Tribolium castaneum: one gene and its partners. The protein of the gene in region 1 binds, or shares a complex with, the protein of each later gene. Links are inferred from orthologs where the notes say so. Each region holds a gene or a part of one and is shown in the gene's direction. Other genes may lie near its edges.

Region 1 (4,017 bases):
CATTACAATACAAAATTGTAATTATTTCGCAAATTGCTGAAAATAGTGTTCAATTTGTCTTTTTTCTATCGTTATCTTGATACATTTCTTTTAAAAAATTTGCTTTAATTAGCTGAAACTACTTACCTACATTAAATTAGATCGAAATTAGATCGAAATTAATGCTATGTTAGATTATTTCACTTGTTTTAGTTTGTTTTTGAACTAAAGGTTTTTTTATTATGCAAGATTTTGTTAAAATAGGCAAAAAATCCAGCACAACTGTTCGAACTTATTGGGATTTTCTCTCGCTTTGCAAAATGGCGTTTCAAATAAATCACAAAACTACAAAATTTGGTCAAAGGTAATATTACTTTCACCTCTGTTTATTTTACATCTTCCAATTTTGTCTAATATTTTTGAAATTTTATGTAAAATTTTTAGTAGATGGGAAATAAATACGTTCTATTTGTTATTTTTTAATTTTTATAATATATTTTAATAGAGTAATAGTTGATTAATAAATAAAGCAAATTTGTGGCAAATGAGATAAACTGCTGCTATTTTTCACTAAAATTTTGACTTTGAGAAACATTAAAAAAGTTCGTTTAAAAAATTACAGTTTATTTCGTGACTGCTAAATTTAAACAAATCATTCTCAATAAATTATTGAATGAGTCCAAAAAATTAACGTGATTGGTTTCTAACGTTATTATAATGGCCGAACTTAAATGGACCAATCATATCCAAAAACACAATTATTCAATGAACCAAAAAAACTTAAGTGATTGGTTTTCTCCGCAATTTTAATGGCCGACCTCAAACGGCCCAATAAAATGCTTACAAACTTTACAACAATTAATACGCACTCTACGTTAATTCATAAAAAGATGTGTCTGTCTTTGTTGCATCTCAATTCAGTTTTTTTACTATGATTAAAAACACCAAAACTGGGTCAAAGTGGGGCAAAATTATCTTCGTTTTCTTAAAAAAAGGTAAACAAACGACTAATAAAAAACAAATTTGAGTATTTTATTGGTAATTATTATAATTGCAGTGTCCGAGTTGAGATTTCTAAAATCTAGGGAATTTTCGTTGGGCGGAATATCCGCAAAACCAAACAAAAAAAATTATTAGTACAGTGTTTATTGCAAACACTATCAACATCACACTTATTTCAAACATATCTGTCCCCAATACTCAATCTTATCTCACTTAATCCCCAATTAAATAAATAAACTCGCTTTAATAGTGACTGTAATCCCCCACCGCCACAGTTGGTATCCCTTTTTATTGATGTTGACCCAAAACATCAATAAAAACACAATTTCTCGCTTAAAACCTCCTTCACACCAGTGTTTTTTCTGGTAATGCCTCCAAAACCCCCAATTGTGCCCCCCACACCGGTGCAAACCCCCCCAGTGTTGTGATTTGCTCCCTCCAACCAACCTAACCTCACTCCACAATGGGCATAGATTTCGATATTTTGGAGCATTGTAAGAAAGTGCGAGCCGACCATGGCCCCCCTTACACTTGCCCCATTGAAAAGTGCGGCCGGACGTACAAATCAGTGTGCGGGTTACAGTACCATTTGAAAAGTTACGACCATGATAACCCGACACCTTTACCACCGTGTACCCCCAGCACGCCCAAGAGCAAGAAAGGACGGGCTCGGGCCACTCCGGCTGCGGTCCCTTCGGCTCCAAGTGTGCCCGAACCTTTGACGTTTGAAGAGGCCCAGAAGATGGTACAGTTTGATATCAATGGGCAGGTTTTGCGGTGGAATATTAACGAAGCGTTGGATATGGTGTCCAAGGAGGACTTGTCGGACGATGACGTGCCCGATATTGGGCGATTCGAGCAAGCTCAAGGTGAATTTGGGTGGGATTTTGGTATTTTTACGAAAAAAAAATGTTTCAGAGCCTTCGGCACAGTTACCTGAAGCCAGTTACAAAGAACTCGATAATTACAATATTTGTGACGCACCTCCGCGCCCCAATGCCTACATCAGGTTTATCGAAAAGAGTGTGGAAGAGCTGGATGGCGAGGTGATTAATTTTGAATCAGTTGATTTGAGTTGATTACAACAGTAGTCTAAGATCAGAATTAGGGTCGTTCTTCATTCATCTGCTGACCAGACGAAGCTTATTTATTATCAAATACATAATATATCGCGAATAAGTTGCTTAAAAAATTGTTTAAGACCACAAAAAATGGGGCTAACAGCGTTGAATTTTAGCTTTTTTTAGGTGTTTTACAGCCGTTATAAGTAACGTTTTTGAATGTTATTTACAAGATACATTCTTCTACTCGGGTTGTATGAGAGAAAGTCTTTTAAAATGTGATCAATGGTTTATTTAGTTCAGAAAAAAATCCTGAAAACTGAAAAAAAAACATGATACATTCTTTATTCCCAAGAGCCTACAACAGGGCCAAAAGTATTTTATTTTCTACTTAACACTTAGGGTCGAGTTCATAAATAAATCTAATTGTTGATTTAAATTTAATGTTGACTTTAACGAAAAACTTATTTCATAATCACTTTAATTGTAAATTTAAAAATCAATGCCCCTTTAAGTTTAAAGCCACAATTTTTGGCCATTAACGCATTTAATTCTCTACGTAAATTGTGTAAAAAAATTGAGAGTGAATAATAATAATAATAATTAATATTATTATTTATTGGAATCAAAATCAACGACGATCGGATCAACTTCCGTAACAGGTTTTAAGTAAAATGAGTTGTAACGTTTCGTCTATATAATAAACATCATCAGGCTTTTAATTCGTTTAAATTAAACCAACTGTTGGTTTCTTGGTTTAAGAGGTGAGTTACCCAAATGCAGGAAATAAAATATAAAATAATCGTGCTCCTAAAAACTATAAACAAAAAGTAAAAAAAAGAAAAAACCACATGAAATTTAACCTAAGTCTCAAAAAATGTATATGCAATTTTTTTATGTAATTAAATGAATGAAAATGAATATCACAATTACTAGTAATATTATTAAAATTACTGCACATTTCGTACAACGACGATTTTAAAAGAATATTAGTATTACAATGGTTACAACAAAGTCATTGAATAACGTGAGTTAATTCTAGGAACCAGAAAAATTATCCTATTCGCCAGATTAATACAGTCTATCTTATTTTTCAGTAATTTATGTTAGAATGCGATACTTAAGATAGCTCTTTTGATTTCTAAAGAATTGAACAAATGATCACAGTTTTCTCACTTGAAACGCACAAGGGCAAAAAATAATTAGGGCTTTTAAATTCGTAAACTCTCTATGATTTCAATAAATAAGTCCTAAAGTTTTAAACGAGCTATTAACAATATTTGTGATATTCACAAACGAAAGTTTGTTGTCGAAGGTAACTTTTAAATCTTTAAATGTGACTGCTCCTTGTAAAATGTGTCTATTAATATTATAGTTGTACACAATCTTTTTTTTTCTTATTTGTCTAAGACGTAATAAAATATTTAGAAATATTCAGTTTAAATACAATTTAAAAATATTTCTACTTTTCCGAGGTTTTTTTATTATTATAATTATTAGTATTATAATTATTGCAAAAAATACAATCGTTAAAAAGTATTAATGATTTAGGGAACAATGGATTTTTTTGAAGAAAACGTAAATGCTAATGTTTGAAAAATTTTAATTACAGAGCATTTTGCTAAGTTATAAAAAATTAATTACTAATTATTCTTTGACATTGTTGTAGTTCCTAATCATCATTTTATTGTTCCCAATATTTCGCAATTTTATTTATGTAAGATGGAACTGCTATAACTTTTTTTTTGTTCTTTGTGTATTTTTTAAACAGCTTCAACTGCTTGCAGATGTTTTTCTGTCTTTGTTTTTCTATTTGCCGAATTTGGTTTTAATTTGCTCAAAATTTCTGTGACATTAATTTTTTTAAATTAATTTTTGAATACTTTTCAGATAATATAATTTTATCAGTCATCTTCGAGCTGTAATTTTTTTTTAATTTACGGTGATTGTCAAATTTTGCATAAATTTTGATGTG
Region 2 (10,922 bases), on another chromosome or scaffold:
AATACTGACCATTGTTTTCCTCAGAACTGTATGAATGCGAGATTAGGGCAACAATAAAAAGTTTTGGAAATAGGCGCGATCGAGACATTTTTTCTTATAAATTTCGACTCATTTTTGTGAGAGTGCAGGAAAAATAGTGCATAACAAACACACGACCGCAGAGTTTCATCATGAGTAATCTTTGAAGAGGTAAACGAACTCGCGGATGTAACCTTGACTTTTTCATTCCGTTTACAATTATTTACGACTGTTATCCAAATAATTTTGTCTTTAATCGTTTGGTTTAAATAAAATACAACCCTTATTGTTTTTTTTTTGCTATTTTAACGCTTTCATAAGTTACGAAAAATATCCTTAAGTGAGGAAGTAAGGACAGTTTGTATTATCACAGTGAACAAACTAGAAAAGACTCTAATTTTTTTTAAATTTATAATCGAGTTCGTGTTCTTGGAGGCATTTTACAGGCGATGGCGTCGTAAAATCATGTGAAACACCCTGTCTGTGGGCGGGGCGGGAGCTTAATATTTGGGGCACGTGCCATACACCAAAATGTGTATTAGGATTACAAAAAGTCAAGGTCTTTACATTCTTATGATTCTGCTCCAAAATCCAGTTTTAAATTTGCAATTTTTGGAAGTTGTTTGTAGGCAATCACCTATACAAAGGAAAGTGTTGTGGATTGTCTATCATTTAGTTTAAAATTTTAACAAAGTTTTATCAGTTTTATAATAATTTAAAACCAAAATGTGTGTGGAGGAGCACAAAAAAAGATTTTTACATTTTTGGATAGATCAAATAATCATTGTCCAAAATTGATTTTGAAGTTTTCCAAGTTTCAGAGCAAAAATAATTTCGCTATTGCAGAGGAAATTAAAAAGGTTTTTACATATTTTTCCTCTACATTTTTGTGATCCTGTATCAAATTTCAGTTTAAAATTTTGAAAATTATTTGGAGGCAACCATCTATACAAGGGAAAGTGTTGCGAATTGTCTATCGTTTTTGGGGTTTTTGTCAATTAAAACAACGTGTATTTACTGTTTTCGTATTAGTCTTTGAATATGTGGAGAAACTGTAGTAATAAATCACTAAAAAAAGTTAAATATGTAAGAGAAACACCACATTCAACCACACGATGTAAACCGTTTTCTTCAAGCAACGGGTGGTTCGTCAATCAGTTTAACCATCCTGTAAGTAGATTGCATAAATAACGATTCTGGAGAGACAATTTCCATAACGCGCCGTTCCCATAACGCAGCAAAAAAAGTGAACAAGGTTGCCACGTGGGGACGTTCAAAAAAATAAATCAGCATTTCTCCAGTTATATAAATTGTTTTTGTTATTTATGGGTGAATTGAAGAAATTGAAGTAAGTGTTCGGTAATTTTGTCCTTTTGTTTGGATAATTTTGATTTTTTAAATTTTCTGGAACATAGTGAAATGTGGCGACGCTGGAACGCCGTTGTCAAATCTGACAGCTGTCAGCGTCGTTTTTGTAATGTGTTGTTATTATTAGCGCCAAATAATAGGATTTTTCTTACGAATTTGAAAGTTTTGAAGAGTATTAAGTGCTAACATGACGTCTGCCTTGTATTTGGAGCATTACCTGGACAGTAAGTGTAAATAACGCGTTCAAGAGACACGTAATTGTAAAACTTTCAGGCTTGGAACATTTACCAATCGAGTTGCAAAGAAATTTCACTTTAATGCGGGATTTAGATTCCCGGGCGCAAGGTTTAATGCAAAATATTGACTCTCTATCCGACAATTTTTTGAGAAATCAGAAAACCATTAGTCCAGAGGAGAAGAAGGAACAACTGTTTAAAATCCAATCGTTATTCAACAAAGCAAAAGTAACGCGAGAGTTTAGTTAGTTTATTCATAAACTGTTACCTTTTATAGGAATATGGTGACGATAAAGTCCAGTTGGCAATTCAAACCTATGAACTAGTTGATAAACACATTAGGAGGTTAGACAATGATTTAGCGAGGTTTGAGTCTGAAATTCAAGACAAAGCTCTGAATTCCCGCAACCAGGATGAGCCCTCAGTTGGCAAGAGTAAGAGAATTGCTAAGTGAAATGTATAGTTACTGTAATTATTCCAGAAGGTAGGAAAAAAACCAAAGATGGTAAAACGGAGAAGAAGAAACGTCCTGGTAATTCAAGTGAAGAAGACTCGACGGGAACAGTTCGGGGCACAAAGAAGAAGAAGCAAAAGGGGGCCGGTTCTACTGGAAATAGTGGCAGTACTACAGGCAGTGGCGCCAAAGCTGCCCTAGGTGAGGGTTCGTATCATCTCATTGCCTTTATATCTCACAATACGGAGGCCTAACATACAATAATAAATCAACTGAAATGCCATTATAGGCCTCCGTGTTTACATGACGCATAAATCCATATTTCCTTCGTTTACAGACAGTGTTTGTAATAATTTTATTTTAGCCACTGATTCAGTCTCTGTACTGCCAGGCTTAGCTGGAATCGCACATCCGAGCGACGTTCTGGATATGCCTGTCGATCCAAACGAACCAACATATTGCCTTTGTCATCAAGTATCATACGGAGAAATGATCGGTTGTGATAACCCAGATGTAAGAAATCAAATTCGTTTTGTGTGCAAATTAATTTTTAATAATTTTCAGTGCCCTATTGAATGGTTTCATTTCGCTTGTGTGGGCTTGACAACTAAACCCAAGGGTAAATGGTACTGCCCTAAATGCACACAAGACAGAAAGAAGAAATAATGCATCGATGCGTTAAAAGATTAGACAATTTTTTATTTTAACTTATTCCTTAAGTTTAAACCGTTTGAAAACATGGTTTTGTTACGAAATAGCAATAATGCATTTGTTATTTTATTAAATTTATATCGTGTGAATTATTAAGGAAATAAACGTAATTTAAGCATTTGTTGTTTGTTTATTTATTGGTAAACTATCTTCCCTTTCTTGAAAATCGATGAGTAAAAAAATATTTCGTTATTTGAGTTGAGAATACGGATATCTAAAGGTTAGGAAATGGAACGACGTACGAATTAAACGTTCCCATCCTCGATAGTTCCACTAAAATCGCCAGGGAGCGCAGTTGTTTCATTACTGTATAACAGTTAACATATAGCAAACAAAAAAATAATATAAAAAAATTAATGGAATGGTTGGATTTAAAATAAATTAAAACTTTTTGGCGCTAAGACGACATGACGCTCAAACCAGAGAATACTATATATTTCTTGTCTAATAAAAAAAAGAAAATATACGTAATTTAAGCAACTGGGGTTTCTTCCTTGCTAAATTATTTTTAGTGTCTTGGAAAAAGATGGGTGAAAGAAATTCGCATTATTTATTCTTTATTTGAGTTGAAAAATATCTCTTGTCTAACTAGAAGAAACGATTGAGTGTCTAGCTAAAATAGCGTCTGCATCTGCTTAAAAGCACAGTCTTATATTCGTGATTAACTGATTAAGAACTAACTCTTTCAAAATTCATCGTGAAAGCTTCGCCCGGTGTCAACCATTTTCGATTTTAAAAATAGGTCTGGATGTGCGAGTATTTCATCGAGTGATAACATATTGTCATGATCCCCATCGGCCAACGCTAGAAGGGCTTCAGCTTCGTGTTCACTGTGTCTAGGACTTTGCGGTGCAACGTAATGTAAAAGCTCTCTCCTATCGGCTCGACCGTCTCCGTTCAAATCAACAGATTTGCGAAACTCGGCTCGTCTTTCATTTTCGTCTTGTCTGACAATGACTGTTTCGTCGTCGTTACCTAAAAATGACTAGTGGTTGTAAATTTAACTGTCGTGAATTTCTAAACCTTCAGTTTGGAGAATCGCAAATTCGTCCTCTGTTAGTAACTCGTCTCCATCTCGGTCGAATTTGTCGTACAGTTCGTCGACCAGTGCCAATTGGTTGGCAGCACTGGATTCGGGATGGGTGAAGGCCAGAAATTCGTCGACTGTTAAAGCGTCAGGGTTGGAGCGAGCGGCTTCCATCCAAGACGCTTTGTCCCTCATTATTTGTTCTACAAGAAAAACATTACCAATTATTATCACTCTTCTGTATTTTAGTATTTTAGCTAAAAAGTTCTTGCTATTTTTTGTATGTAATTAATACTGTAAAGAGCAAACATGATATCATATTCCATATCGAGCGCGATATTATCCTTGTTCCTTGAAGAGCTTGAGTTATTGGCATAACATAACCATTTATTCATCAAATTACTGACTCAGCCTGTATATTGGGTGAATCCAAAATTTAAATATAATATAATAAATATAAATATAAACAATTCATTTGACGACCCTTGTGTTTCGCAACACTCAGTTGTGTAACATTTTTATAACTTTATACGGCTTATTGTTCATAGTAATCGCTTATTTGTTAAATTTAATTAAGATATTCTTATCAGAGGAAAAAATAGAAACATGTTCCAGTGAAATAGTGTCAATTATAAGCACCAAACTCTGTCGAGAAAGAATCTCAAGATTAAGGAATTTTTTGGGTGCATAAGTAAGCTCACATAAGCTCAGCTCAGCACGCGTTGAAGTGATCAATAGCCGCATTGTGCGCCAAATTTCTTGCGCTTGATATCAGTCGCGAAGTTGTTCTGCCAGTTCAATGTTTCTAAAATGTCCCCTTTCCTTCCTTATGCTAATCGCCTCTGTTGGCATCATTCCCACAAATTCAACACTTACGCAACTTCATATTGTGAGTATCACTATTTTTAAACGTTTATGAAAAAAAGTTCAGGTGTTTAGACATGGCGAACGGGCCCCCACAGAAACCTACAAGAATGACCCACATATCAACGTCACGTGGTCAGGAGGTTGGGGTCAATTAACAAACGTATTTATTTGAACAATGATTGTGGGGACAAATAAACCGATTTTTTCCAGCGCGGCAAATTGGAAATGTATTTACTTGGGCTGAAAATGAGGCAACTCTACCATGACTTTATCCCCAAATATTATTTTCCGGATGAAGTAAAAGTCATGAGCAGTTATGCCGACCGATGCCTTATGAGTGCCCAGGCTTTACTGGCCGGCCTGTTTCCACCCAGAGATGATCAAGTCTGGAATAAAGACCTCTTATGGCAGCCCATTCCTGTACATTACGTTCCCCGAAGTCAGGATAATGTAAACAGAAATTGCCAACAGTACAGTTATTACTAAAGCTGGAATTTTAGTTGATTGCGATGAAAGCTAAATGCAAAAAATACGACGAGGAGTTCGCTGATGTTTTTCACTCCGAAGCGATCAAGAAAATCGATGAAGAAAATAAGGAATTGTACGACTATTTAACAAAAAACACGGGACAGAAAATGGATTCTGTTGGGAAAGTTGAATTGTTGTACAACACTCTGGAGATTGAACGTTTGCACAATTTGACTCCTCCATCTTGGACGCAAAACGTGTCCTGGGAGCAAATGCGGAAACTCGCAGCCAGAAGTTTAGAAACATTTACTGAGACAAACTTTATGAAGAGAATGAAAGGGGGTTGGTTACGTTACTTTTGATAATTTCAGTCTCTATTTCATTGCTATAATTATTCAAGGAGTGTTTTTGAGCAAAGTGATAACAGACATGGAAACAGATAAAAAGAGCCCTTTGCTTTTCTTGTATGCAGCACATGATCTTACCCTTGTAAATATCTTAAAAACTTTGGGTTACAAGACGATGCTAAAACCCGGATTTGGTGCTTCCTTGGTTTTTGAATTGCGCAACAATTCACAAATTACCGTAAAATAATATTCATATTTTAGTAGTTTTTTTGTAATATTCATATTCTAGTTGTTATATCGGGATGATATTAAAAGTGATCCAGAGAGGATTGCAGTTGAAAGTTGCAACACTCCGTGTTTATTGAGTGGATTCAAAACCGCCCTAAAGGAGTTTCTTCCGTCAAACTGGAAGTTGGAATGCAATCAGTGAATTCATGTTTGTATTTTTCCGTGGTTGTAATCTTTTATAAAAATAAATACACGGTTTTTATTCTGTTTTTTGCCCTTTTTTTTGACTGAAACACTGCAACTTTTTACTTGCCTTTGATTGATCTTTGGAGGCCTCTGTGCCGTTTCTCGTCATGATTTTCCACATATTTCTTGCTAAAGCCTCGCCTTTTGAGGAAATACGTGTGATACTCTTTCCAAGTTATTACACCGTTTCTTGGATCAACGTCTATCATAGTAAATAGGGCGTAATTATTGCTAACAGCGGTGGAAATATGTTCAACAATTTTTTTTCTTATCCATTCGGAAAGTTCTTTAGAGTCAAGTTTGTTATTTCCGTCTTTGTCGGCTCTAAAAATTAAGTTACACTTCTAATAAATGTCTAATCTGCACCTACCTTTTAAATACGTCTTGAAGGATTTCAGTCTGGTCCTTGTTGGCGTTTTCGTTCGTATTTATGTTGATCAAGTATTCGTTTTTATTATTTAGAAGGGAGCTTTCTTCGTCTTTTCGATCCGAATTGAAATTACTATTTTTCATTCGTATTTCGAACGAATCTTCGGGCTTTTCAAGACGTATTTCTTTCACAATTTTGATGGGCTTTAGTGGCACGGACAGCATCCAAATTGTTAGAAAAAACGTGATGTAACACAGAATAGGGACGGTGTAAGACCACCTCAACAGCAAAATGAGATGTTTGAAATTGTGAGCAATTTTCATTCTTTCTCTTTAACAGTTTTAACTTCTATATTTTTCATTTGGGTTTCAATGAACATTGCTTTGTTGATAAGTTTATTTCACATCGTGACCTCTACCTTTTGATTGACATTACACGGTTTTTTCAATTCGTTTCACGAAACACATGAGGACGTTGCGAAATCAAACATTTTGCAGAATTGACCGTTTACACTACTGTAAATGGGTTATTCTGTTTTCTTTTCATATCGTGCAGCGAAATCGATCTAATGAAAGTGTTACGCGCGCGCTCTCGAGCTGCGGGCTAGAGAAATTTGAATCGGATGTTTTGTGTGTTGCATAGGTGTAAGTACTGAAAGTTAGTTTCAATCCTGTTCCAAATGATCAGATAAAATTTAAAGTTTTACGGAAGTTATAAACAACTTAAAAGTAGATTAATAGTAGTGAATTTATTGCATTGTTATAATATTTCAAATTTATTTGGATATTGAACTCAGGGAGCTCCTACTCCCTACTCTCTTCCCTGTTATTTTTCGCAGCAAAAAAACAATTTGCTAGTTAGTTTTAAAAATCATTAAACACTCACATTAAATGAATGTTTTCATTAAAAACCACTACCATAAAAAATAAGAAAAATAAATAAAAAATTACGAAAATAAACAATTACACACAACCTTGTTAGCTTATTATAAAAGGACAACAATTTTTGTATTTTTAAGTAATTAGCAATAAAATTCTTTTTAAAATAAGACAAAACGATTTTGTGGAAAGCTTTTTGTGAAAAATTACTAATAACTTTTCGAATTTATTTGTTTAATTTTTTTATGAATTATTTTTTTTATACTATAATTTATTTTAATTTATGTTTTAATTAACGTTTTGTTTTTATTAGATCGCAGTTGATATGTTTACAGCTCACGCCGGCCAATTATTTGTACCATGTTATACATTAGCCCGGCGCATCCACCATTTTTAACCTAACTTTAAAATCATAAGTGTATTACATGAAGTTAACTAAAATATGTAATGACCACCTTCAAGAACACTAAATGATTTTTTGTATGTAGTTTGAATTTTGCAGGAGTTCGAACTGTTGGCGATATAAAACATTAAGGAATTTTATTCCTCGTACCACGTTCAGTTTTTTTGTAAAATCCACGTAACTTTTTGATTTTAATTTTTTTTAAAAATGGGTTTTGTGTCTTTTATTTCTTAACAAAATTTCATTACATAACACATCTGTAGTCTTATTGTGTATAACAGCTCGTGGCAAGTTATTAACTATATTTGTTGATTCAGTTATCAAAAGTTGCAATAGGAAATTGATTATAGATAGCTATATACAAAGTCTTTTAAATTAAAAAAATCAAACTTAAGACATAAAAATAAAATAAATTATTTCCTAACGGAGAAGCCGTCTCCTGTGGGATCCAAAATCCAGGGGTAATTATTGGGGCATTCCATGCAGGTGAACAGACGGAGCGTCTCTCCTGGAAGCTCCCTCGTAGTCAGCGCGCACGAATTAGGCAGGGAACAGTAAGGCTGGCCTTTAATATCGCATTTCTCCTTCCATTCTTGGAAGTCACGCAAGCCGTTCAGCTCAGTTGGATTCTGCATCCATTGGATGACCTGGAGGTTGGTCACAAAATAGACATCATTACGCTGCAACATCTCTTCGATGAATTTAATAAGCTCTTCCTTGAATTCTTTCTTGCTCTTCAGCCAGGAGGCGTGGAAGTGGAGCCCGAGAGGCGCGCGGTTGCTGTTCAAGTGGCGGTTGAAGTTGTGTCTGAGGAGACGAGCAAACTGCTCGCCTGTTTGAATATTCGAGCAGGAGTCGACCATGTGACAACCAGGCAAAGATTCGTCAAAAGTGGGGTCATCACGTCTGTCCAGCTCGTTCATGACGATTTCCCAGACCGGGTGGCTTCGGCTGGGGCAGTTGTGCGCGTTTCCGTTGCACTTGTGCGGCATCCGGAAGTAGAGGGTGTAGGGCCAGATGGGCACGCGGCCCAAGGACGCCGTGATGGAGGCGTCGTAGACGAAGAACTGGTCGGCCATCATTTCGAACTGTTTGTTGCCTCCGACGCGAAGGTACGGGGCTCGGACGCCGATGATGGAACCGTCCGTGATGTTGGCGAAGCGCTCAACGATCAGACGCGCTCCGGCCATCTCGGCAAGCCAGTCGTCGTAAGACCCTTGGCTCCAGTAGTTGGGGTCCTCTTTGTGCGTCAGCGAAAACACGGCGATTTCGTGGCCGCGTCGGTGCAGGTCTTGGACGGCGGAGTAGTTCGTGTATTTGTGCGAGACGAAGAAGGTCCCCCTGATCTGGCAGCCGTTGGGGTTGGCGCGGTTTCCGTTGAAGATCTCCTCGTACAAGTCGATGTTGTCGACATTGACGGCGCCGTTGAAGGTTAAGGTGATCATCTGGGGCACGTTGGCGGGCTCCAGTTGGCCGGGGATCCTGGTACCGTCGGCGGAACAGAAGCAGTCAGGGAGAACGCACTGGGTGGGGTCGCAATCAGGCGCCCGATTTGGATCGGTTTCCACAGCTGTGAAGGACTTATTGTAATGTCGAATTTAAATAATTAATGAGTTACTTACTGCAAGAATTTTCGTCAGATTCGTCCTTGCAATCGGGTTTACCGTTACAGAACAATTCCTTGTCGATACATTCACCATTGCCACAAGACAGTTTCCCTTCAGGGCAGATGGGCTCGTCCGTTTTAAAATTGGGCAAGACCTTGCGGGGCTCTAAAGTTAAAACAGCGTCACGAAATGCCGAAAAATTTACATTTTATAACTCCTGTTGCTTCATTTTTGTATTTAAAAACTTGTCCCAAAAGTTTTTTATTTGACTTTCATTAAATGTTTTCATATTTTTACTAGTTTTACAGTTACGTAAAAGTGAAGGTGTGTACATAAAAATGTAGCAAATGTCATTGCCGTTATCAGAATGTCACTTCCGGCTTACGGAAGTAATATGTTGTAAATACCGCCTCGTTTTATTCTAAAAAAAATTCCACTTTTTACTTGAAAGTATGAAAGCTTTGTTAAAATTTAATTATTAAAGGTTAACAACGCGAACGGACCAATAAAATTTGTTCAATTTGGTCACGTGATCAGTTAATCACGCATTTAATTGCCGATTAACTTAATGACGCTTCTATAAACCGACCCATAGTATTTAAAGATTTTGATTTTTTAAATAGTAAATTGCACGAATAAAAAACGAAACAACAGTAGTTTAAACAATAACAATCCAATCAAAAAACCTTGGGGTGAGAGCTATGTACAAAGTGTAATAATTGGGTGTGTACTTTTGTGACTGGCTTTGCTTCAAAAAATAAAATATTTACATCAAAATTCGTCATTGTTCGCAAATCTTTCAATTTCATAGAAAGTAGACGAAGAAAAAGAAGGAAAAAATATTAATTACAACACAGAAAACATACAATTGTGGATGAGGATTGATTACACGTATGATTTCCATAATTTTACAACGAATTTAAATGCAATCGAGGGTCCGTGTTTTGAACCTTGGTAATTTTGAATTAATTAATGACTGCGTAATTGGTTGCACTTGAAATTCGTCAGGGTGTAAAATTATTTGAATCACCATGTATGAATGGTTTATCTGCTTAAAACAATTTTGTTGGACGCTAGATAAACCATTCGAATCAGTAAGAAAATTCAAGAAAAATGTCTGTAAATAAAGACTAGATGAACACAGAAAGATGTATTTTGTACATACAATGTGTAAGTATTTAAGACAGACAGAAACGTACCGACTGCTTGTGTAGGTACAAGGAGAAAAGAAACAGACGTTTGAAATGATTTGGAGTTGAGTGGTGTCGTGTGTTTCCGTGCAAACGCACAATGGATTAGTTGATTAATGTGCGGATTGTCTGAAGCTGTTAGTGAATAGCAAAAGCGCATGCAACGACTTCGTTAATCGAGCTTAAAGTTAGAAAACACCATCTACTTTCTACACTTTTGTATCGGAGAACTGAATAATTTTTTACACAGTCTTTGAAATTCGTTGCTCTATTGAAGCCGAAACAGCGGTCGCATAATTTCTACAGCCACCGTTCCCTCACCGCACTTGAAAGTGCGACTTACTCTCAAGTTTATCACAGTTATTGACTTTTCCTTTCCAGTCACATGTTTGTTTATCGATGTCAAATGCCAATCCGCTGGGACAAGTGATTTGCTTTAGACCGGACTTAGTACACCTGTACGTTAAAATGGGGCTTAATATCGGGTTTTGACCAAGAAATAAT
Region 3 (9,851 bases), on another chromosome or scaffold:
TAACCTTATGCGAGGGCTTCCAGAACTCGAGACGATGTTTAACGTAATCAAAACAGTTCCCAAACAAGTAAAGAATTTTCTTGAAATTCGACATGTTGCTGTACTTTATTGATAAAAGTTGTTGCCCAAAAGTGCTCTCATTGCGACAGACTGAATTTTTCAGAAGCGCTAAACGCACAATTAGGCCCAACTCAGGTTCAATGGGGGCTATATAACCAGGCTAAAATTACACTTTCAGGCAACCAAACCTTAACAAGGGGGCACTTACGGGTAAGAAACGGCTAGTCTCGTGAAGAATTCGCATAAGGGCTTTGTAGATTTCATTATCAAGGAAAATTGCGTTCATTTGGGTGACTCTCAGTAACTTATCGTTGGACATTTTGCACAAGTTTTAGACAAATTGAGCGTTTGGAATGTTGATTTATTGCAACTATTTGTATTTTTGGCACTATTTGTTGTTTTTTAATTATTTCATAATGATCATAACCTCAGAATTTGTGGAACTTTTCGGGTTGTTATGTTGGCAGCGACGTCACGGGTGACGTATTTGACATTTGGCGAAACGTCAAGTTGTGAGGTGTTTTGTTGGAAATAAACAATTTTTAGTGTAATTACTTGAGGCACTTAGCATAAAACAACGACTTTACAAGTGTAACGTTTCCTTTTATCGTTTTGTGATAATAAGAACAATATGTCGGCCAAAAACAATGTTTCGGTGGATGCCCGCCAAGAGTTAGCAGAACTTGTTAAAAGAAAAGCAGAAATTGCGGTAAGAGTTACTTTATAAATGTTGAAGCTTTGTATTAAGAAATGTTTTTCTGTTTGGCTTAAATTCGCGGTCTTTAACCAATTATAGGAGACGTTAGCAAATCTCGAGCGCCAAATTTACGCGTTTGAAGGTTCCTATTTAGAAGACACTCAGTTGTATGGAAATATAATTCGAGGCTGGGATCGGTATTTATCGAGTAACAAAACAACAAACTCTAAGGCTGATAAAAGAAATAGGAAATTTAAAGAAGCCGAACGTCTGTTTTCTAAATCGTCCATAACCTCAATGGCTGTGAGTTGGGACGAGTTTTGTGTATTTTTTTTGTATTTTAATGAACGTTTTACAGGCGGTTAGTGGAATTGTTGACCAAAATCAGGAGAAAAGTAAGAATAGTTATGAAATAAAAAATCATTCATACGTCTAGTTTTTTTTGTATTCGTTTTGTAGCTTTTTTGTAGTGTTTGTGGTAGTTTTGCTGTGAACTTTCTTCTAGATAGATGTTTTCTCTAGTTTGGTCACTGCCTCTTATATGCACTGGAAAAATGAGAGACATTCCAATAGCTCTGTAAATGTTTTACTCTAAAATTATTCAAATTTTGCAAGCAATGAAACAAAATATTACAATAATTTAGAGTTTATTTTCATTGCTTACAACTCCCACAGGGAGTAAATTGGGAGGCATATTGAACATTTTACATTTAGTTTTACTTATTTATTTGTTTTGTTGTTAGTTGTGTCATAAACCCTACAAAAACAATTCACCAACAGTAAAACTTCTATAATCCGAACGAATTCTATTGCAGCAGGTTCTTCGGATTATCGAATTAACTTTTTTCTCTTACTTTAATTGAATAAAAAAAAATAAGTATTTTTATTTAAAAAATTTCATAGGGACATATACCGAGTAGAACAAACAAATATTTTTTTTACTTATTTATTTTATTGTTATTATTTATCATAAACCTCTAATAAATTCGGACTGATATTTTTTGAATTAACTATTCTCTTATTATTAAAACGAATAAAAAGAAACATTTTTTTTAACTTAGAGTGATCCTGTTAAGAGAATTGTAATTTTATATAAAAACTGTTGTTTGCATTGCAACACTTCGTTCAACAGAAAGTTAATTGACAGGTATTTTATTATTACTAATATTATTATTATCACAAAAGATCATAGAGGAGTCCCTGTCGGGACTATTTTGCTTAAAATTAAAATAAAAATAGTGGTGGTAAATACGGTATTTCAATTCCACCCAAAAAGGTTGTCAGTTCTTGATTTAAATCGCAAGATGTTAGGTGCATTTTTTATGACCATTTTATGTAAAACGAACACTAGGACAATCAAATGTTTATATTTTTATTTATATTTCTATTGTTTAGTTTTTCATAAACCATGCCAAAATAATATACAGTAAAATTTTTATAATGCGCACTAATTACTATTGCAAGAGGTTTTTAGAATTACCAAATTAACTTTTTCCTCTTAATTAAAATGATTAAATAAGCAAAAGTAAGTATTTGTATTAAAAGAAAAACAAATATACCTAGTGAGCCTGTTAAAAGCATGTTTCAATTTTATATGTATAACAGGCAGTTACGTTTAGAGACATTTTGAACATATTATTTAAAATTTAAATTTGATTAAAAAAATCAAGTTTCTATTTTTTAATTTTAGTTGTTTTAATGTTATTGTTTGTTTTATCATAAACTATATAAAAATACACTAAAACCTATTATAATTCGAAATACTTACTATTGCAAGAGGTTCTCCAATCGGATGATCGAATTACATTTTTTGTCTTCATTAAAATGAAATAAACAAAATACTCGTAAGTATTTTTATTAAAAAAACAATCAGAGAATTACATATTTTAATCACTATACAAAAATGTTGTAAACGTTGTTCATCTGGAAGTAAATTGAAAGACATTTTGAACATTTTGAGGAACAACGAATAAAAATATTTTTTACTTCTTTAATTGTATATTTTATCGTTAATTATGTCTGCAAGAACATTACACAGTAAAACCATTTTAGTCAGAATTACTATTACAAGGGGTTTTTCTATGTAACTACAGTAGCGAGGGGTGCTTCTTTTAGTGAGTTTTTCTCAATATTTCAGAAACCATTACAGATAATATTACAATATTTGATACAGTTAATAATCTTTATATTCCCAATCGAATTCGAGAATCTAATGTAATAAGAGCTGTCAGGTTGGCATTATCATAAATAGTATTTTTTTTTAATTAAGGTTGGTGTAATTTTTTACCTAGAAAATTCAATTTCCAAATTTTTCAAGTTGTCTCCAATTTACAAGACGTACAACAACACATTTAGTTATTTTAGACCACCTTTAGAGTAACGAATTAACGATTAACACTAACGTCCAATTTTCAAAAATGTCAAATCTGGTGTTCAAACTGTCAAATACAGAATACAGCCAGTTTCTAAAGTGGTTGAACATGAACTTTTAGGGTGTTACAGTCTTTATCAGAATTTTGACACTGACAGTTGATTATACAAAAAAATTAACTATAGAAATTTTGAGCAGGGGCGTTCCAAACTGGAGGGAAGTAGGGTAAAAAATATCCTAACTATGTGGATTTAGTTTTGTAACACATGGGCTTTAAATAAATTCTGTACTAGTTCAGGATTAGTTCTAAAAATCGTTTTTGTTTGAGTTTCAGAATTTGCAAAATAATATTGCATTGAAATTGAAATTGAGGTGTATACGTACAGTGTCATTCTGCTAAAAGTATTTTCTTCCTGTGTCTCAAAACTCAATAATTACACAGAGAATTTTTCGGCAGTTCTTTATACATAATTTAAATTAATTAATATTAAGTCACTGACGAAAAAATTCTAATGATATTCTTTCTGAAGGGAACCATTAATAATAAAAAAATTGTTTCTAGCCACCAAAAAATAAAATTATTGTGTTGTTCATATTTTCCAACATTTTTAATTGTAATCAAACTGTAATTAAGATTGAACTTGTGATTTACTTTGCCAAGATTAACTTAATCGATGATTATTTTTTTTATCTATTTTTGCACAAAAATTTTTTCATTGGCTTAATTAAACTTTATTTTAAAAATTTATAGGAAAATTCCGAAAAAAAAATGCGTAGAAAGATTTAATTGATAGCAAACGCTCATCTTTATGATTTTAGCTTTAAAAATATACTTTTTTAGACTAACCCTGTAGAAACATCGAAAATTATGAATTTAATATAAAGTTGAAAAAAGAGTAAATTTCTAATGCCCCAGTGTTTTTTATATTAAAAAATAATTAAAAATGAAAATTGAGTTTTAAGTTAAGGGTAAATAGGTCATAAATACCTAATTTTTAGTAGCGTTTGACGCCTGTCATATTTGAATTTAGTGTACGTTATTCTAATTAAGTCAGAAAAAATTCCCATGCTGTAACTTGATGACTATAAATGGAAAATATTTACATAATAACAGTGGGGCAAAAATGCGGAAGTAATCCGTAAATTAATTATGGCCCCAGCAATTTAAAAACCATTGATGTCAACATAATTTTTCTAATGAACGCTTTTTAGAAATTAATTGTGTCGGAAAATTTGCTTGTTTACCGTGGAATCTCTCTCATTTTTAAAGTTACTTTTACTTTTTCATATTTTTTGTTTTTTTAATAATTGTATCCTGCCTCCTATTCACTTAATTAGCAACTAAAATTTTGTGATAGTCTATAAACGTTGTTTTTGGCGATGGAATGTAGACATTTTGTAATAACAGTCGCCAGAACAATCGGTCATTGTAACGCGTTTTGTAGTAATTAGTTTGGAAATACCTTAACAGAAAAATTTACAAGGCCACTGATCCGATCTACTTACATTGCACAAAATCGCCGCTTTTATTCATCGTTCATTTTTTCAGCCGAATGATTTGGCAATTAAATTGCTAAAACCGTCTAGTTTTTCTGTACAGGTATTACGTTCAAGCAGTTACTTTTTCAAGTAATTTTAGTTTTATTTTTTACTCGTAGTGGAGCCGCACAGCGATACTGAATCTCAAACTAATGGAGATTCTAGTGATACTAACTTAGGTCCTAATTCGAACCATATAGATTCTGGGATGAAAAATGCAGGAAAACACTCGACGAATTCCTTGAATGGTGTACAGAACGGGCTTGACCATCGAAATAGCCCCAATAGAGACGTTTCGGCCAAACAGAAAAGTTTCAGTGCAAGTGCTAAAAAAACTAATAATAAGAAAGCTAGACACAGATGACTTTTTGTGCTGTTTTCTCAACCTATTTGTGTGTGTTTACAGTTTTAAGGTTTTTCAATTGTGAGTTTGGAATCTAAGTACCTGCATATTGAAATTGTACACTTTTTACCGATGTAATTGTTTGGAACAATAAATAAAATTATTCAGCAATTAAATGATTTCCTTCATTCAAATAAGAAATAAGTACGGTAAGTGTATGTGTCTATAAATTTAAGTATTTATGTAAGTTCAACTTTCTTTAAATTGTTTTATCTTTTCAACACTCATTGCTGCATTATAAAATTGTCTGCTCGTAAATGTCATTTTCTTAGTTTTTATTACGCTTTTGCGTTAGAAATTATTACAAGGTATTAATTAATTAGACGAACATAAATTATAAATCGTATAAAGTAAATAAACTTTTTCTTGTGTAAGATTTATGTCAAAAACAAACACAAAGGTGTGCGACTAAACTCCAAAGAAATTGTAATCTCATTACTACACCTCGTTTTTTCGGATTATGTTTTTTCTATTAGGTGAGAGAATCCGATCATTAGCGTATTAGAATATCCGTTTAATTTTTTTGCGAAAGTATTTGAAAAATCTTGTTTCTTATACAAATGGTTTTGTAATATGCCAGACGTGTTTAGTAAAAGCATTTCTCTCCACAAATAACTAAGGAATTATTGTGATTCTTAAAATCAATCTTTGATCCTTATACCGTTGATTCAAAAATCTTTTAAAGATGTTTTTTGTCAACGTTGGTATTTTGACAAAAAATGGGACGACCAAAATAAGGCTGATTTAGGTTTTTCATGTTAGCAACAATTCTTGCTGTGGGTTAAAAATAGATTTAAACCTTTATTTGATTGGACTATGAAAAGAAACAATACTGTAGGTGAACATATTTTTATAAATAAAAATATAGAAAACTATATTCAAATAAAAAACTAGACACTTGGGTAGCTGTGCAGCAAAATTACAATTTCTTTTGTTTTTTCAAAATTCGTTAATCAATTTTTTTATGTACATATTTAAGGGTTTTTCATATTTTCTAAAAGATGCTACAAGTTTTAATTTTTGACAAATTCAAGACCACTAAAGAAAGAAGAAGACATGAAAAGCCCACCACTTTCTAATTTTAGCAAGAAAGCAATTATAGGAAGCCAGGTTAACATGGGTCATTGGGGTAATAGCAGACTCATCGTAGTTGAATGTCTGCAATAATTTCATTTTTTATCGGTACAAATTAAATGCACATTTGTTAAGTGAAGGGGGCGCTGCTGGTGAAATTGGCGGGAAATGATGACGCGTGAGGCGCGTACGGGCAACGCCTAGTTAGTTGGAAGGACACTGTGGCAGTGTCAATGTCGTTGTTGAATCTAATTTGCTAATAAATTAGTTTTTGGGTGAATTCCGAGTTTCATTTACAGAGCAGCGGTAGGATATTGCTCAAATAATCGTTTCCGATAGAGAGTGGTGAATTGTGGTGATTTTGTGAGGAATTTGTGGGTCGCCAAGGCAAGGGCCAAAAATTGAAGTTTTGGGAATCTGTACCGTTTCATTCGTAACAAAATTGTGTTTTACGACTTGAAATCGAACAAATCAATCGGGTGCTAGCCGAATTTATCTGATTTTTCTGATTTCTGACGAGTTCTAGGAGTTACGCAACCACACGCTGTCAATTTTCATTTGGGTGTGGCTCAAAAGGCGCGAAAAGTTTTCTGGTGAGATTTTCGCAATGGGGCGTCACAGGTACCGAGGAAATGTGGACTCGGACGACTCGGACTCAAGTGACGATGAGCCACGGCCGAAAAGGTCCGCGCCTGGGGTCTCCACTACAGTAAATTCACCCCCAGTTTCGGCCGAGTCCGCTAGAATCGCGAGACTTGAGCAACTTGTGGAAAACTTGAATCGACGTTTGCTAAACCGCAATTTTGAGCACACATCAGGACAAGTTGGCATTAAAAGTGACCTGATTCCTGAATTCGCTCCAGGAAACCCCAATTTTAGTACCACTAAGTGGTTGCATAAAATTGACCAGTTGGCTCTCGTGAACGGTTGGGACGAACGTACAACGATTTATGGCATGATAAGTCGACTCAAGGGGTTGGCCAAGGAGTGGTACGACAATCTCGATCCCTCAGCATACGACCGGAGCTGGGATGAATGGAAACGTTTGTTACAAGCCACCTTCCCCGATCACCACGATTATGCTTCCACACTTCGTAAGCTAGTGAATAGGGTGAAGGAAGACGGTGAAACCTGGGCACAATATTATTTTGGGAAATTAAATCTGTTGCAGGCTTGTGACATAACAGGAACGAATGCAGTCTCCTGTCTTATTGATGGAATCACTGATGTGACTCTCAGAAATGGGGCTAGAGCAGGGCGTTACGTTACACCCGAAAGCTTGTACGCTGAGTATTTGTCGACTCTGAGATCCGAAGGTGACAAGCGGGATACGCTCGCAAAGCAGGCGCCTCGGGAAAGGAGGAGGTTCCTTCCAAGTCGAGTCGAAGCACAAAAACTGTATTCGTCAGTTCGGTGTTACAATTGTCGTAATCGAGGACATGTTGCGACAAAGTGCCCGAAACCAAGAATTGAGTGCAAGAAATGTGGTCGCATTGGACATGTGGATGCTGAGTGCCGACGTGGTAACGTAGTAAAAGAAAACATGTCTAAGCAGGCACTAACGACAAGTGTAGCTGACGCAAGTAATAATAAGAATTATTACATAGACATTAAGGTCAATGGTAAGCCGACGCGAGCTTACATTGACTCAGGAGCTGAACCGGTCCTTGTCAAGCAAAGTGTTGCTAGAGAATTGGGACTGATGTGGCAGCCAAGTTTACATTTGATTCGTGGTTATGGCCAGGGAATCACCAAAGTGCATGGGGAAGTCGAAGTAGAGCTAGAAGTGGATCTTGTCAAGGCAAACGTAAAAGCTTTGATCGTCGAAGACAGTGCACAACGTGTGCCTGTCATAGTGGGACAGACCTTCCTGAATGCGGGTGCTAATACGATTATAGCAAATGAGGAAGCTGTGAGAGTAGTTGACGGAAACAACGAATCGATCCAAGCATTTCTAGGCCAACTTCCGACACGAAAAGTTGCACTTTGGGCGGAAGAGGAAACAGTGATCCCTCCTCAATCCATTGGTTGCATACGAATCAAGGCAAAAGACGATGGGTGGAAAGGAGCTTATTACGTTGAAGGGTGTCAACGTCCGAGACCAGGGTTCGAACACGTTGTTCATCGGTGTGTCACATGTGATGGAGGCCTAGTGACCGTTCGCAATCTATCGCACCAAGATCTGGTCTATCGAAAGGCGCAAATCGTTGCGAGAGCTGAGCCTTGCGAGCAGGAAAGGACAGCTACGACGGTGAGTGTGTTTTCTATGGGGAAGGTTGAGGTAAAGAGTTTTCAACGGTGGGAACTTCTTACACAAGTCAATAAGAATCTAGACCCGGCTCAGTTCGAGCAATTGTTACAACTCGTTAACGAATTTCGAGATTGTTTTGCACGAAATGTAGCGGAAATAGGTGCCACAACTGCGACAGAAATGAAGCTAACTTTGACTGATGATAAACCTGTAATTTATCGTCCTTATCGGTTATCGCATCACGAAAGAAGAATTGTTCGAGATATAGTAAATGACTTGTTAGGTAGCGGAGTCATACGAGAATCAGACTCGCCATATTCGAGTCCCATACTGTTGGTGCGGAAGAAAGATGGGCAACACCGTATGTGTGTTGATTATCGGCAATTAAATTCGAAAACAATCAAAGATCGCTTTCCGTTACCACGAGTAGACGAACATTTGGATAAACTAAACGGTGCAAAGTTTTTCACCACACTAGATCTCGCGAGTGGGTACTATCAGATCCCAATGGCCACCGAATCGATTCCAAAGACAGCATTTGTTACGCCTGATGGGCATTACGAGTTTGTCCGCATGCCTTTTGGTCTAGCCAACGCTCCGGCAGTGTTTCAGCGAGCTATGAATAAGGTGTTGGGTCCATTACGGTTTCAGACCGCTTTTTGTTACATAGATGATCTTCTGATACCTTCCAAAGACTTTGAAACAGGTCTTAACAATTTACGAACGGTGTTTCAATTGCTTCGACAGTTCGGATTGACTCTAAAGCTGAGTAAATGTTGCTTCTTTGGAAGTCAAATAGAGTATTTAGGGCATGAGATCAGTGCGGAAGGCATTAAGCCAGGCGAGACAAAAATCAAAGCGGTGACAGCTTTTCCCAAACCAACAGACGTACACAAACTTAGGCAATTCTTAGGTTTGTGTGGGTACTTTCGAAAGTACGTGAAAGATTACGCAACAATAGCAAGTAGTTTGACGAGTCTCCTAAAGAAAGGCAGTGCATTTGTTTGGGAAGAAGCACAAGAGCGGGCTTTTCAGACTTTAAAAGACATCTTGACGAGCAGACCAGTTCTTGCAATTTACGACGCGGAAGCTGAAACGGAGTTACACACTGACGCTTCTAAAGTTGGAATTGGTGGCATTCTGTTGCAACGACAAGGTGATGGATCTTTGCGTCCAGTTATGTTTTTCAGCCGACAGACGACCAAAGAGGAACAAAGGTACCACTCGTACGAGCTAGAAACGCTAGCGGTGGTCTGTTCTCTCAAACATTATCGAGTATACTTGTTGGGGCTTCAATTCAAGGTGATCACAGACTGTAATGCTTTACGAACAACCCTTACCAAGAGAGATTTGATTCCACGAATTGGGAGATGGTGGTTGTTGACTTCTGAGTTCGACTTTACTGTAGAATACAGACCTGGCAGTAAAATGAGTCACGTTGACGCTTTGAGTAGAA

What was found.
Region 2: Br140 (region 1) and Ing5 share a complex: the UniProt entries of both Drosophila melanogaster proteins name them as parts of the enok complex. The link is inferred for Tribolium castaneum from reciprocal best matches to the Drosophila melanogaster genes Br140 and Ing5.
Region 3: Br140 (region 1) and Eaf6 share a complex: the UniProt entries of both Drosophila melanogaster proteins name them as parts of the enok complex. The link is inferred for Tribolium castaneum from reciprocal best matches to the Drosophila melanogaster genes Br140 and Eaf6.

What each region holds. Positions count from the first base shown.
Region 1 is NC_087401.1:11,385,140-11,389,156, reverse strand, and holds the start of Br140 (peregrin), read left to right. Parts: upstream 1-1,217; 5' UTR 1,218-1,444; coding exon 1,445-1,850; intron 1,851-1,899; coding exon 1,900-2,027; intron 2,028-4,017. UniProt on the Drosophila melanogaster protein: Scaffold subunit of the histone acetyltransferase (HAT) Enok complex which has histone H3 acetyltransferase activity.
Region 2 is NC_087398.1:9,636,844-9,647,765, forward strand, and holds Ing5 (inhibitor of growth protein 5), read left to right. Parts: upstream 1-1,284; 5' UTR 1,285-1,573; coding exon 1,574-1,610; intron 1,611-1,659; coding exon 1,660-1,850; intron 1,851-1,899; coding exon 1,900-2,056; intron 2,057-2,103; coding exon 2,104-2,283; intron 2,284-2,440; coding exon 2,441-2,589; intron 2,590-2,640; coding exon 2,641-2,742; 3' UTR 2,743-2,907; downstream 2,908-10,922. Other genes in the region: cuticlin-1, read right to left, coding at 10-88; myd (45 kDa calcium-binding protein), read right to left, coding at 3,473-3,762, 3,811-4,017, 6,038-6,294, 6,341-6,663; testicular acid phosphatase homolog, read left to right, coding at 4,614-4,703, 4,746-4,841, 4,892-5,131, 5,182-5,491, 5,550-5,734, 5,786-5,926. UniProt on the Drosophila melanogaster protein: Component of the Enok complex which has a histone H3 acetyltransferase activity.
Region 3 is NC_087398.1:15,239,797-15,249,647, forward strand, and holds Eaf6 (chromatin modification-related protein MEAF6), read left to right. Parts: upstream 1-550; 5' UTR 551-691; coding exon 692-769; intron 770-856; coding exon 857-1,060; intron 1,061-1,115; coding exon 1,116-1,152; intron 1,153-4,786; coding exon 4,787-5,031; 3' UTR 5,032-5,186; downstream 5,187-9,851. Other genes in the region: peroxisome biogenesis factor 2, read right to left, coding at 1-220, 269-379; uncharacterized protein LOC135266307, read left to right, coding at 6,752-9,646, 9,708-9,749. UniProt on the Drosophila melanogaster protein: Component of the Enok complex which has a histone H3 acetyltransferase activity. Might be involved in transcriptional activation of selected genes.